Rhinolophus ferrumequinum: one gene and its partner. The protein of the gene in region 1 interacts with the protein of each later gene in a pairwise test. Links are inferred from orthologs where the notes say so. Each region holds a gene or a part of one and is shown on either strand. Other genes may lie near its edges.

Region 1 (7,136 bases):
ATCGCCTCTCCAGCTTGAAGGCTGGGATTTACCTTGGAGTTGCTGGATCTGCTTGGTGAACACTTCTGCCTGCTGGGCGCTGGCCAGCCGTTCATCCTCCAAGAGCCCTGCATGGAGAGAGGGCCAGCATCAGGCCTGGGATGGTGAGCATAGAGCATTTGGGCGCAGCCCTCAGGCCCCAGCATGGACACTCACCCTGCAGCTCCAGGGAGTCGTCCTCATGCTGCCCTGCCAGTTCCCGGGTCTCCTCCAGCTCTGTCACCAGCTGCAGCACCTGAGCCCTCAGCTCCTCCAGCTCTGTCTCCGTGAGGCTCAGGCCCCGGTGCTTCCCAACTGATAGGGAACCTACACTGCCACCTTTCTGAACTTGATCTTCTTCTTCTTCCACCTCTTCCTCCTCCTCCTCCTCCTCCTCTTCCTCCTCATAGAGAGCTGGGAGTAACACTTCCCCTAGGAGAGACACCCATCCCGCCAGGGGGTCAGAGCCAACTTCCTTTCCACAGTCCTCCGAGGGCCCTCAAACTCACTGTCCCCGGGCAGAGATGGCATACTAGTGCCACCTGGTGTCCCCCAAAGAGCCCCTGGGGAGGACCTGCACTCCTGAGTCCTCAGGTGTGAGGGTCATATTTGGAGGTAGCCCATTCCCCCGCCCAGGCCCTTTCTGGACCAGTGCTGCACCTGGTGGCCTCCTATTACTGCCTTTGGGGAAACTGAGCAGCTCAGTGCTGGCTCAGCCATGTGAAGTTTGCATAAGAATACCCACTCCTTCCAGTCCTGGTCTCTGGGGCGTGGGACAAGTAGTCAAGAAAAGATTCAGACACTGGACGTGTCTTTAGGCCAAATGGGGCAAGAGTTACAGTCGGGGTCTTTGTAGAGAGTTCAAAAACTGTCCAGGTAGCTTGTGAGAAATTAGCCTTTCCGTAATAAGATCGCATTGCCTGTCAGTAGGCAAACAAAGAAAACAGCTAAATGAAGCGAGTCTCAATGTTTTACTGGACAAACGGGGGCCCTTTTAAATGTGCTCTATCGAATAGCCTTTTTGAAATTTTCCACAAGGCCCACCTTCCTTTTCCCTGCTGAGTGTGTGTGTGTGGGGGGGGGGGGGCGCGGGTTTCCTCTCCCCTCCCTGAGTGTTATGAGGCCTTTCCCGCGGCTGATCAATGTACAGAGTAGTTTTCAGGGCGGAAGTCTGAGGTACTTGTGCGTAAAGTCTGAGGTACTTGTGTGCCATTTTAATGCATTAAGAAACTGGGGTGTGCTGGTCCCCAGCCTCTGGTTGGCAAGCACCCCCTCCTTTGCTGCAATGCAGTTCCTCCAAATAGCAAAAATCTTGTCTGGGTGGTGATTGTTGGCTTTGTTTTAAAATTCTGAATCCCTGGTCTTACTTTCTCCGATAACAGCAGCCTAAGGTTCATCTGGGACCCCTTGCATTTTCTGTTCCCTTTGGGGGAACAGGGTTGCCCACACTGAGGGTGCACAGGGGTCTGAGGACACTTCACAGGAAGTCATGGAAAAACGGACCAGCATCCTTTTAGGGGCCTGGTGTTGGCAACAACTACCAAGGTGCATGGGTGTGGTGGGGTCACAGGAGTGTTGGGAGGTTGGCCTTCTCACCTGTCCCCCTCCCAGGCAATCTCTCTCAGGCAGTATGCGACCCTAGAGCACCAAAGGCACAAGGCTTGCATATAAAGTTAGTGGTGGTGACACCAGGAAGACAATTCACATGCTCACTTCTCTGCTTTTCAAAAGAAGAGACAGGTTGGGATCTGGGTCGAGAGGCAGTGAGAACAAACCCCCTGCAGAAAGGCTGCTTCAAAGCTCTGTCCAACCAGGCCTTTCTCTGTCTGGCAGCTTCCCCAGGACACAACCTGGTTAGCTTGTGATTAAGGCCCCAAAGGGAGGCGCTGGGCACCTCCCTCAAATCCTCAACCCTGAGGAGGGGTGGAGGGGCCTCAGGTGAACTGGGGAAAGGGCCCAGAGTTCTGGGGATCAGAGGGAGGAGGGAAGAGGGGGAGAGAAAGAAAGCTTTCTGGGAAAACTCACCCTCCATAGCTTGCATCCCCCGCCTCTCCAAGGACCCCCAGCGTTGGCCTTTCTTCCTCTCACAGCCCTCGGATACCTCGTAGGAGCCCAGAGTGGTTACTGTGGGTCCTGTGAGCAGGGAGAGAGGAGGGATTGTGGGATGCCAGGGGCGGCTGGGGGCTGGCATGCCTTCTAGCCCTTTGGAGCCCTGAGGGTTTCAATCCTGGTGGACGTGCTCGGCTCACTCCGCCCAGCACCGCGACTCTGCTCCTTCAGCCGCCCCTCGCGCTGGGCCTGCGGGGACCCCGCCCTGCGCGGCCCAACCTCCTCAGCAGCCTCCGTTCAAGGCTCCTCTCCCTTGCACAGACGGAAGGGGCGTGTGTCTCTTTAGCCTAGAGGGGACAGGAGGAGAGGGGAAAGGATGGGAGAGAGGGCAGAAGCTAGTAAAGAAGCGGCTGAAAGGGTGAGGTGGTGCGTGGAAGGGGAGGCAGGTGGCGATGGGCAGGAGGCGCCGTGGGAAGGGGTCTGGGCCAGAGCCGCTCCCCTCCCCTCCATTCTCTCCCTGGACCTCGCCCGCCCCACCCTCGCCCTGCGCTAAGAAGCCTTCGGGGGTGCAGGGGCTGGAGCCCCCTGGGCTGGAGAGACGTGATGGAGAGGGCTCAGGGAAAGAACTGCCAGAGAGGATGCTGCCGGTGGCGGAAGACTCAGCGGGAAAGATGGAGACCGGGCCCGGGTGAGGGGCGGGACGGAGGGAGGGAGATTTAGGAGGGGAAGGTGGGCGCAGCGGAGGGAGGGAAGACGTGGGGGTCTGCAGGGAGGAAAGATGGAGAAGAGGAAGGCGCGGCGGGGGAGAGGTGAGGGAGGGGCGGCTCTGACCTGGGCAGCTCCAGCCCTCGGCTCCCGCGCCGGCCTCGGCGCCCGCCTCCATGGCCTCTCGCGCTGCCGCCGCCGCCGCCGCCGGGAGCAGACGCCGCAGCAGCGAGGCCGGGACCCGGAGCCTGGCGCGCAGGGCTGGGGGGGCGGGCCGAGGGGGCGGGGCCTGGCCGGGCCACCTGACGCCGCCGCCGCCCGCGGTCCGCCGCCGCCTGGAAGCCCGCTCCGCTGCGCGACCGGGTGCGGGCAGGCGGGAGCGGGAAGGGTGAGGGAGCGCGTCCCAGGACGCTCGTGGCCTCGCCGAGCGAGTGGGGCGAGCGGGCCGAGGCTCGTCGGGACTTGAGGTCTCCCCAAGAGGTAGACACAAGATCCCTTGCTCTGGTGATGGGTCCTTCCTGGAGTCGACTGCGCACGAGGACCCGTCTGCGCCATTTGTCAGGTCCCCGTCCCTCTCAGTGGTGGAAGAAAAGGTCAAAGATGGACAAATGCTCCCGGCCTGTTCCTTCCAAACGCGTAGACACGCTCACATCACTCAAGACCCATGCCCCCACCTCCGTTGTTAGCGCTGACCCCCTTTCGCCGCCCCAGCGCGGCGCAGTGGCCTCTCGCTCCCCAGAGCTGCATGAGAAATGGACCAGGGAAGCCAAGGCCGGAATACATGAAATGCGGGTCCTTGATCTCTCTGCTTTCCTGACGCCTCCACCAAGCCAGAACCAGGGACCCTCAGGAGCGCCCGCTCCATGGCCCCACGCAGCCTTGGCTGCCTGGAGACCTCCTCACTCCACCACTCGGCCTTCCCAACTGGCCCTACACCCCGTGGGCTGCAAGCCACGACCCCCACCCACCCTGCCGGTGCAGCCGTCTCAGAGTGCGTACTGCTGATTTTCACTCTGGCAAAAGGGAGAGGTGGAAGCCCAGAGAGCTGGTTTCACTTATTCAGTCATTCACTCAAGGAATGTCTACCAGGAGCCCAAGGCAGTTGTTCTCACATCTTTGCAGGAAAGAAGTGGTGACACACTTGGGAACCTGGGCATCCCAGCAGATGCAGAAAAGTACCAGGAGATTCCCAAGCCAGGGACACACACCAATTCCTTCTCTTGCATACCTACTCACAAAGTCATGGGTACCTATTATCTGTGTCCACCCCCCATCTCCCACCTTCACAAGCCCCCCATAATACTCAGGAAAGAAGTCCTCCTTTGGCTGGGCATCCCCTACTTATCCTTCACCCCTTCATCGGGGTCACCTGTGGGCAGCCTTCTCTGACATCCCTGTGAGATGCCCCTGCTCGCTCCACCCTGCCCTCCTGCCCTCTAGGGCAGTGCCAGTCACTCTGGGTTGTCAAGGTCAGGTGTTTACTCTTCTGTTTGCCCACTTTCTGGAAGGTTGGGGAGTATCTTAGTCATTTTTTTCTTTTTATCTCTAGCATCTGGCAAAGTACCTGACACATAGAATAAATGAGTAAAGGTAAATCTCCCAACTATGCAGTTAATAGTGTCTTATCATTTAACATGATTTCACACTTAGGGAGTTAAATGTTACCTAATAATGATGATGTTGCCCTATAAGTCTCTCTCTCTCTCTCTCTCTCTCTCTCTCTCTCTCTCTCTCTCTCTCTCTCTCTCTCTCCCTCTCTTTCTCCTCTCCTTTTTTTCTCCCCCTCATACCTCCAGCCTGGTGTGCTCTGAGAGATGACGAGCACAGGTCAAGGAGGTTTCATTTGCTCCCCAGATGACAGGATTTCACTCCCGGTCCTGTGGTCAAGGTGACCCAGTCATGGGGAAAGGCTGTTGAACAAGACCACTCAGACCCGTTCCAGAGGGTCTGCTGCATCTATCAGGCTTGTCTAGACTTGGTGAGCAGGGCAATTGTCAGAGATGGTGGAAAGAGGCTGGCATTGGGAGGGTGGGGGTGCAGAGAGCTCTGGGGACTGATAGAGCCTAATGCTGGAAGCTCAGTGGCTATTTGTTCTGCCACAGCACAGCTGTGGTTCTGGCTCAGCCAGTATGGTCAGTGAGCAGTTGACCTTGATTGCTAACTTTTTGGCTGATGGAGGGAGGGGCAGGGGAGGACATTGTCAACTGTGACGTCCGGGGGTCCAACCTGTCCTCGGGGAGCTCTGATCCTGGGCATTAAGACTAATCTCTCCTTGGCTTCCGGGGTGCAGGTCACTATTCACCCTTCATTGGGTAAGTATTCAGGGGAGACCTGAGCCAATCTATTCTCAAGACCCAAATTTGGGCCATCCCTGGCCAGACCAGCACTGGGTTGAGGGTGGGGTGAAGTTAGGAGGCAGGAGGAAAGGGCACAGCAGGTGTAGGTAAGTGGCCTGGGGCCCTGGGCTGCAGCTCAGAAGGGGCGGAAGTGGTTGGAATGCCAGCCAGGTAATCAGCTTAGGGGGATGATGTGCACTAATCCTCAAAATCCCTGGACTCAGGACTCAGCCTCCCTCCTAATCCCTTCCCACAGATCATCCTCTCTGAGGATTGATGTGGCCATTTATCCCCATTTACCCTTATTTCTAACTGCCTAGATCCCTTCATTAAAAAGAAAGAAAATGTGGAGCTTTTAAACATGCAGAAAAGTACAGGACAGAGAATAACATAACAAATACCCATGCACACACTGCTGAAATCCAACAACTGTTCATGTTTTGCCACATCTGGTTCAGAGATAGCCTTTCGATTTATGGTTTTACAGTTTTGCTCCATATGTACGCATCCACAAGCAATACGGAAGATTGATTTGTGTGCTTAAAAACCTATCTAAATGGTGTTCTTTCGTATACATTTTTATGTAAACTTTCTTTTTTCTCAACTTTTTTTTTTTTTTTTTCATGTATCCATGTTGTTTCATGTAGCTCCTCCAATTTGTGAATTTTAACTACGGAATACTATTTCATTGTTTGAATATACCACAATTTATTTATCCATTCTTCTGCTGATGGGCATTTACAATGTTTCCAGTTTTCTGTATTATAAACAATGCTGCCACAGACAGTGATATGCATGCCTCTTTGGCATATATGTAAGCACTTCTCTAAGGTGGATACCTAGAAATAGCATTTTTTGGTCATAGAATATGTGTTTAACATTGCTAGGTAAACTGTACTAGTTATTGCCAAATTGCTGTATCAGGAAGCTGGACCAATTTACACTCTACTTACAGTGGCTTTCGATGCTTGTTTAGATTCACTAACACATTTATAAATTTCTCTTTTCACCATTGTTCTTGGAGTCCACGCCTTCCTTCTTATGAAGTATATCCTTCGGTGGCATTTCAGTGAAACTGTTTGAGTGGTAAACAGTCTCAGTCTTTGTGTTAATCTGTCCTTATGTCACGCCATTTAAATGGAAATTTAGTGGGCATAGAATTTGTGGTTGACAGTTTTTTTCTTGGTCTTTTGAAAATGTTTTATTTTTTTGTATAAAATTTTGTGGCTAATACGAAGTCCGCTTCCAATATAATTGTTAACTTTGTAGGCAATGATGACTTTTTCTTTTTTTTCTGGTTGCTTTTAAGAGTTTTCTCTTCCTCTTCAGTAGTCTACAGTTTCACCACAATGTATTTATAAACTCAGGACTCTTCAACCTGAGGACTCTGTCTTTCTTCCATTTTGGAAAATCCTCAACCATTATCTGTTAGAATATTATGTTCCCCCATTCTTCAGGAACTCCTATTTTATATATATATATAATGGTATGAAAGGCAAAATACACACACACACACACACACATATATATATACACATTATTCTTTCTCTCATGTTTTTAAATTATTCTTTCATATTTTCTATTTCATCACTTTCCCCTCACCACCCCCGTTTTGAATGATTTTTATTACCGCTGTCTTCCAAGTCACTAATTCTCTTTCCAGTTGGGTCTAGTCTACTGTTTAATGGATCACTGAGTCTTTAATTTCAATGGTATGTTTTTCATTTCTTAATGTTTTATAGCCCTCCAATAAACTGCTTTTTTCATCATACAATATTTTTATTATGGTATATTTTCTTATCTTTAGTCTTTAATGCTTTTAAGTATTCTTATATACTTGTTTTTCACATTGTTCTATTATGCACAGTTTTTGGAGTGTTAAGTCTCCTGTTTGCTGTATCTGCTGACTCCTCCTTACGGTGGATTGCTTCCTTGTCTAGTTTATAATATTTCATTGTGAGCTCTTCTTCAGCAGGTGTTTTCGTTTGTGTTTCTGTTTTTTAGTGAGAATCGCATATACCCTTGGTT
Region 2 (7,513 bases), on another chromosome or scaffold:
GGGTGCGTGCCTCCAGCTCCCCTCACATCATCCAAACCCCCGTTCCCAGTGAGTGAGGTCTCAGGTTTTGCAGCCCCAGCCCTGAGTTCCAATCCTGACCACTAGAAATTGTGACACCTCTCTGAAAGGCCAGGATACTAACTGTGAGACTGGGGCAGGGGGCGGGGAGCATGGATCATCCCACTACACTTCAAGGTGTCTAGAAGACACCAGCTCTCTGGCAGAGATGGGGGTGGCACCTCCCAGGCATTTTCCTGCCTTCCTCCTCCTCTTGCTCGTTTCACTGGGTTGCTGCCTCCCTGGCCTGTCTTCTCCCTTACAGGCAAGGGTCTAGACTAGGAGCTAGTCCAGCTGTGCCATACCTGGCTGTGTGACCTTAGACCAGCCCCTTCCGTCTCTGAGCCTCAGTTTCTCCATCAGAGGCAATGGTTCCCCACATTGCTCTAGATCCTGTTCTTTCATGGTGCTGGGCTTGGAGGCTAAGGAGGAGAGAGGAGGAACGAGAAAGTGCCCAGTTTTGGTTGCAGGGGTAACCTAGGTGATGTGGCAGGTGACACCAATCCTGTGGCAACGCGGTCCCTTACTCTGTGTTGAGGGGCGGGCAGGTGGCCCTGGAGAGTTGGCAAGGGGCCCAGAGTTATACTCATGCCCACTCCTTCCTACAGACACAGGAAGGGCCAGAGGGTCGTGCTGCGCAAGGCCAGGCAGAAAACCAGACTGGGCGTGAGCGCCGCGTTTCCGAGCATCGCAGACAATGCACGCAGTGTGCGGGGACCAGGGAGGCCGAGCAGAGGGAGGGACTGGCAGAGGCCAGCAGCTCCTGGGGCCAGGCACAGCTCCCCGCCCCCACACCAGACAAAGAGCGGCCTGGGCCTGGGGAGCTGGCGGCCTTCCCGCCACTTGGGGCGCCTTGGGGGGGGGGCTCTCCGTCAGAGAGGCGGGGGCTTTGTCTAACTCCGCCACCGCCACCGCCACCGCCACCGCCGGCCAGGCCGCGGCTTGGCAACCCGTGCGCAGGAGGCAGGGCTGGAGGGCGTGAGGGATGATGGCAAGGAAGCCGGAGGAGCGGCAGCGGAGAGTCCATCTTGGATGCAAATGGCAGGGGGAGATGGGGCTTTCTAAAGGTGTCCACCGGGAAGGGGCGGCCCCCACCGAAACACCAGCGATCCGGGCACCTCAGCACTCCTGGAATTCACCATAGGAGAAAGAAGAAAACCTGCGCAGAGCTGCCAGCCAGCCCAGAACAGGGCTTCAGGGGTCCTGAATGGATGCCCGTCACTCCGTGACCCCAGTCCCCAAAGGTCCCAGGTTAGGGCCCCTGCCTCAACTATTCCTAGGTCAGGACTGAGAGTTCCCGCCTGTCCAGGCTGGTGCAAGACCCTCACCTTTCCTGCCCCAGAAATGACAGATGAGGGAGGCAGTGAGAAATGCTACCTGCACCACAAAGCCTGTCTCAGTAAGGTTTGCAGACCCCAGAGCAGGTGAGAACATTTGAGAAAACAGTGCTGTGTGCTCTTGGGGATCAGAGCCCACATTTGACCAATTCAACTATCCCCCACACTGGTACCCTGAATCTTAACCCTTTCTAATCCCCAAATCTGTGTCCAAGAAGTTAAACACACACAGACACCACACACACACACACACACACACACACACACACGGCTTTTTTGGGTCCCTCTTCAGATTTCTGGAGTTAAGGAGCCACCGTTTGGAGATAAGGCCCAACACTTGCGGCCAACTGCCAGCGTGGCATTTCTGACCTGCAAGGCCAAACCCCCCTTCCCTCCCTTCTGTCCCCTCCCCCACCACCAACGTGCCTCGCTTTTGGGGAAGTATTTCCAACCAACTGTCTAAAGGAGAAGGGCCCTGGTGAGGGGACAAAGCCGGTGGTGTCCGCCTCCCACAATTTTACCTGCCCCTCACCCAGTCTCACTCAGTCCCTAGGGTGAGCCCCTGGGCACAGCCTAAAGCGGCCTGACAACTTCTGGAGGAGTTTCCCGGGACTGCCCGGCTCCAGTCCCAGGGAGGGGAGAGAGCGGCCCCTCCCAACTGCTGCAGGAGGGGGCCTCCTAGGCCCAGACTTGGGGGCTCCGACATGTGGGCCCCGACGGAGAGGTTCCCCCCCACACACACACACACACCGCCCTCAGGTACTCAGAAGCCCCCTGTCCTCTCCAACTTCTTCCACTCGCGCACGCCTGAGGGGGACCTCCCCAGTGCCCCATTCTCGGGACCCCTGCTCCCACGTGCCAGGCTTAACCCCCACTGATGACTGAGTCCCCTGCACCGCGGGTGACCCCCGTCCCCGCCGCAGCCGCCCAGAGCCCTCAGGGGCTGCTGCACCTGGCACGCCGCCGTCCCCCCGGCCCTGCCTACGCTGGCCTGATTTTGCACACGTGCGCCCCTGCAGCCCGGGCCTGCGCCCCCGCTCCCCACCGGCGCCCGAGCCCCGCGCCCCGCTCCCGGCGCGGCCCGGCCGCTCCCGACTCCCGCCGGCAGGGGCCCTCGCCGAGCCGCCCAAAAGCCGGAGGAAAAAGGAACCGAGGAAAACCTCCCCTGCCCTCGCCCGCCGCGCTCCCCGCGAGTCCTCGGCCGCCGGCGTGGGGGGGACGGCGGCGGCCGCCCGCCTGCGCCCGGGGCCCCAGCCCAGCCCCGGCCCGAGGCCCGGCGCGGGGCGGGGCGCACCCGCCAACTTTGGCAGCGCGAGCGCCGGAATCATGGCGGCGGCCGCCGCGCTGCCCCGGGCCGGGACCCGGTGCCCGTCGCCCTTGGCCTCGCGGGGCTCCCGGGGCCGTGGCCGGGGCCCGGCGTGCGGGCCCCCAACTTGGCAGCACTTGGGGCGCGGCGCGCGCGGCCCACGGGGCGCACTCACTCACCGGCGTTGAGGGAGGCGGCGGGCATGTGCGCGGTCAAGTTCGGTTTGTAAGACATCCCCCCGAGCGGCGGGGCGCGCGGGGCGCAGCGGGGCCAGGCCCGCGAGGCGACGGCGGCGGCGGCGAGGCCGGGCGGCGGCGAGGCGGGCCCGGCGTCCGTGCGCCCGTCCGTGCGCCCGCCGAGCTCCCGCGCACTTTTTGTTGTTGACGGCTCGGGCCGCACCGGCAAATATGGCCGTCCCTCACCCTGACACCGCCGCAGTATATCACCCATACATCGGGCGGGCGCAGGGGCGGCCGCAAACTTTGAGCCGAGCCAGCGGGGCCGGCCCGGGCCGGGAGGGGGCGGCCCGGCGTCAGGGGGCGGCTCCGCCCGCGGCCGCGCCCCGCGCCTCCCCGCGCGCTCGGCGCCCGCAACTTGGCAAAGTTTGGGGGGCTGGGGTCCCGGCGGCGCCTGTGGCCCGCCTGGGTCCCTTTCTTCTTTTTCGTTCTCGGCGCCTGGAGATTTTCTATTTTACCGCTTATTTTTTTTTTTTTTTAATAGCTAGGTAGGATTTCACAATTACTTTTTTCCTCCTTGACTGTGGGGGCAGGGATGGAAAATTACCTGGAGAAAATGGTGGCGAATGGTATTTTTAAGCACGTAGATCCTTCCAGACGCCGAGGTCTGGTTATTCCCCAGAATAAGAACAACCAATTCTAACATTGATTTCAAATAAATTTCACATCCTTGTCTGTATTTAGTGGTTTTTAACCCTTTGGGAGCCTGTGAATCCTTTGAGACTGGCAAAAAAGAGGAATCTCCTCCTGGAAAATCCACCCTTGCATTTACATAATTTTGCATCGTAACTCATTCAAATATTTAAGAAGCGCCTACTATGTGTCGGGTACTGTTCTAGGAGCTAAGGGTACAAGAATGAACTTGGCAAAGTTTCTCTACTCTCCTGGGGTTTAAGGTACAATTTTTGGCCCTCCTTCGACCCCACCCCAGCCTATGCTCGAAGCTGACTGAAATGTAATCATCAGATGGATTTAGGATTAGATGATTAAGCTTTTGAAGGTACTATTTCTTGGAGTTCTGCTTAGATGGTAAAGCTCGTCAAAACACACAAGATGCCCACCCTTTGCCATCGTGTTTTAATCACAATGGCTTGCAAATTTTTACACTGGTCCCAAACATTCAGACACACGCACCTAGTGAGGAAGGTTCCTCTCAGCTCTAGAGGGAAGGTATACCGCCCCTGCCCCTTCCCTTTGGGATTGAAGGTGCAGGTGACGTCCCCTCCCCTGCTTAACCAGCACCCCTTGTGATCAGCTTTAGGCTAGTTCATCCAAGGACACTCAATAAAATTTTATTTCATAAATAAATTGTCACCTTCCCCTACCCCCCCCAGGGGCCCAATACTCTGGGATAGCACTGTCTGATCGAAATACATTCCGAGCCACAGATGTGATTTTCAATTTTTCCGTAGTCACATTTTAGAAAGTAAGGAGAAACTGGTGACATTAATCTTTGGTACATATTTTTTAATATATCCACCACACTGTTTTCAATATGTGATGAATATAAAGAAATTAAGATACTTCACATTATTTTTATCACATGAAGTCTTCAAAAGCCAACATGTATTTTACACTCACAGCACATCTGGATTCAGATGCGCTGAATTCAGACCAGCCACCTTTCAAGCGCACGATGGCCACAGTAGCGATTTTCCTATGGGGCGGTGCAGGGCAAGCAGCTACAAGCAGCGGACTCCCAGGGCAGGCCCTAATCCTGGTACCACCACCTATGAGCTGTTCCACTGCACCTCCATGTCCTGGGGGTGAGAATCCAGATCTCAGTGGCCTGCACCAGTCCCGCCTACAAATGTCCTGGGCTCTTTTTCAGTTTTGTTGTGTTTTCACCACCCTTCACTTTTAAGTCCTGATTATCCCTGAAAACATTTTTCCCTTGTTTTTAATTGAGATACAATTCACTTAGCATAAAAGTCAGCTTTTTAAAGTATACAGTTTTGTGGTTTTTAATCCATTCAGTTATACAACCATCAACACTATCTAATTCTAGAATATTTCTGTCACCCCAAAAAGAAACTCCATACCCCATTGCAGTCACCCTTTTCCCACTACCCCTAGCTTTAGGCAACCACTACTCTACTTTGTCTCTATGGATGTACCTGTTCTGGGCATTTCATATGCATGGAATCATCTGACCTTTATCTTCTTTCATTCAGCATGTTTTCAAGGTTCGTCCATGCTGCAACATGTATCCATATATTATTTCTTTATTATTCATGGCTGAATAATATTCCATTGTATGGATAGGCCACATTTTGTTCATTCATCAGTTGACAGACATTTGGTTGTTTTCACTTTTTGGCTGTTATAAATATGGCTTCTATGAACATTTGCGAACAAGTTTTTGTATGAACGTTTTCAATTCTTTGGGGTATATACTGGAATGGAATTACCATAACCCTGTTACTATTTTTTTTTTTAATGTTTCACTTTTTAAGGAACTATCAAACTGCTTTGCTTAGTGTATGCACTACTTTCCATTCCCACCAGCAGTGTATGAGGGTTCCAATTTCTCCATTGTCTTCACCAACACTCCTTGTTACCCTGCTTTCCCGAAAAAAAGACCTAGCCGGACAATCAGCTCTAATGCGTCTTTTGGAGCAAAAGTTAATATAAGACCCGGTCTTGTTTTACTTATTTTATAGTAAAATAAGACCGGGTCTATAATGTAATGTAATATAATATATATAATATTAATATGACATAATGTAATATAATACCCGGTCTTATATTAATTTTCACTCCAAAAGATGCATTAGAGCTGATTGTCCGGCTAGGTCTTATTTTGGGGGAAACACGGTATCTGATTTTATTTTAGGCATCCCAGTTGGGTGTAAAGTAGCATTTCCTGGTTTTGATTGGCCATTTCCCTAATGAATAGTGATGCTGAGCATCTTTTCATGTGCTTACTGGTCATTTGTACATCTTCTTTGGAGAAACATCTATTTCAATCCTTTGCCTATTTTTTAATTGAGTTTCCTTTTTAGGTTAAATTGTAAGGGTTCTTTATATATTCAGGATATTAGTCCCTTCACAGATACATAATTTGCAAATAGTTTTTCCCGTTCTTTGGGTGGTCTTTATTTTTCTGTAGGGTCTTTCACACACACGTTTTATTTCTTGAAGTCCAATAGGTCTCTTTTTTCTTTGGTTTGCTTGTGCTTTTGGTATGCTATCTAGTCCAAGGCCGTGAATATTTGTCACCTGTGTTTTCTTTAAAAAGTTTTTAGTTTTTGGTCTTACATTTAAGTCTTTAACCCATTGTTAGTTAATTTTTGTGTACGGTGTGATGTGGACCCATTCATTCTTTGCAGGTGCATATCCAGTTGTTCTGGCACCATTTGTTGAAAAGACTGTTCTTTCTCCACTGAATGGTCTCGACACCCTTGTTGAGGGTTTATTCCTGGACTCAGTTCCATTGATTTATGTCTGTCCTCGTGCCAGTTCCACACGGCTTTGATGACTGTAGCTTTGTACTTTGGAAGTGGGAGAGCTCCAATTTTGTCTCTTTCAGGATGGTTTTGGCTCTTCTGGGTCCCTTGCATTTCCATATGAATTTTAGGATCTGCTTGTCCATTTTCGCCACACACACAAAAAGGCAATTGGAATTTTGATATGACTTGTATTACATCTGTGTATTAATTTAGCGAGTACTGCTATCTGAGTTGCAACATGAAGTCTTCCAATCCATGAACGCAGGATGGATTTCCATTTATGTAGGTCTTATTTCTTTAACTTCAACAGTGTTTTCAGTGTGTAAGTCTTGTACTTTAAATTTATTCCTAAGTATTTCATTATTTTTGATGCTATTGTAAATGGAATTGTTTTTGCAATTTTTGGATTGTTCATTGCAGCATGTACAAATCACACCTGATTTTTGTATGTAATATTGTATCCTCCAACTTTCTTGAACTCTCTTATTAGCTCTAATTTTTTTTGTGTGTATGAGTATTCTTCAGAGTTTTCTGTAGATAAGATCATGTTATCTGCGAATGGAGTTTCACTTCTTCCTTTCCAAATGGGATGTCTTTTATTTCTCTTCCTTGGCTAATTGCCCTGACTGGAACCTCAAGGACAATGGTGGCTAGTAGTGAGGGCAGGCATCCTTGTCTTTGATCTTGGGGGGCAAGATTTTAGTGTTTCACCATTTAATATGATGGGGCTTTCCATCAATGCCCTTTATCAAGTTGAGTGGTTTCTTCTATTACTAGTTTGTTGAGTGTTTCTATCATGAAAGTGTTAGGTTTTGCCAAATACTTTGTCAGTTTCCCCTCCTTCCCGCTTTTATTCAACAAATATTTGTTGAGTGTCTACTAAGTGTCAGACACTATTCTGGGGGCAGCAGGAAAGACAGTCCCCATCATGTCATGAAGCTTATTACTCTAGGCATGGCAGCCACATTTAGCTGTCTCCTCTGACCCCACCACACTCATCACCTTACCCGTCACCTCCCACTATTTGTTATTTTTCTTCAGGCCAGACTGGGGTATGACCCTGGTACTTGTTCATTCCCACATCTCAGGCTTCATTACACCAACTGGCCCTTGTGCTGTGCTTGG

The links. The genes of interacting proteins can lie anywhere in the genome.
Region 2: the proteins of CCDC136 (region 1) and CDK2AP1 interact in binary tests that used the Homo sapiens proteins (3 or more experiments, as listed by UniProt). The two-hybrid records come from large-scale screens. The link is inferred for Rhinolophus ferrumequinum from reciprocal best matches to the Homo sapiens genes CCDC136 and CDK2AP1.

Annotation. Positions count from the first base shown.
Region 1 is NC_046309.1:17,344,710-17,351,845, forward strand, and holds the start of CCDC136 (coiled-coil domain-containing protein 136), read right to left. Parts: upstream 2,951-7,136; coding exon 2,899-2,950; intron 2,415-2,898; exon of another isoform or gene 2,210-2,414; coding exon of another isoform or gene 2,152-2,209; coding exon 2,044-2,151; intron 451-2,043; coding exon 196-450; intron 108-195; coding exon 33-107; intron 1-32. UniProt on the Homo sapiens protein: May play a role in acrosome formation in spermatogenesis and in fertilization.
Region 2 is NC_046308.1:4,504,047-4,511,559, reverse strand, and holds the start of CDK2AP1 (cyclin-dependent kinase 2-associated protein 1), read right to left. Parts: upstream 3,012-7,513; 5' UTR 2,935-3,011; coding exon 2,880-2,934; intron 429-2,879; exon of another isoform or gene 418-428; coding exon of another isoform or gene 363-417; intron 1-362. UniProt on the Homo sapiens protein: Inhibitor of cyclin-dependent kinase CDK2. Also acts as a component of the histone deacetylase NuRD complex which participates in the remodeling of chromatin.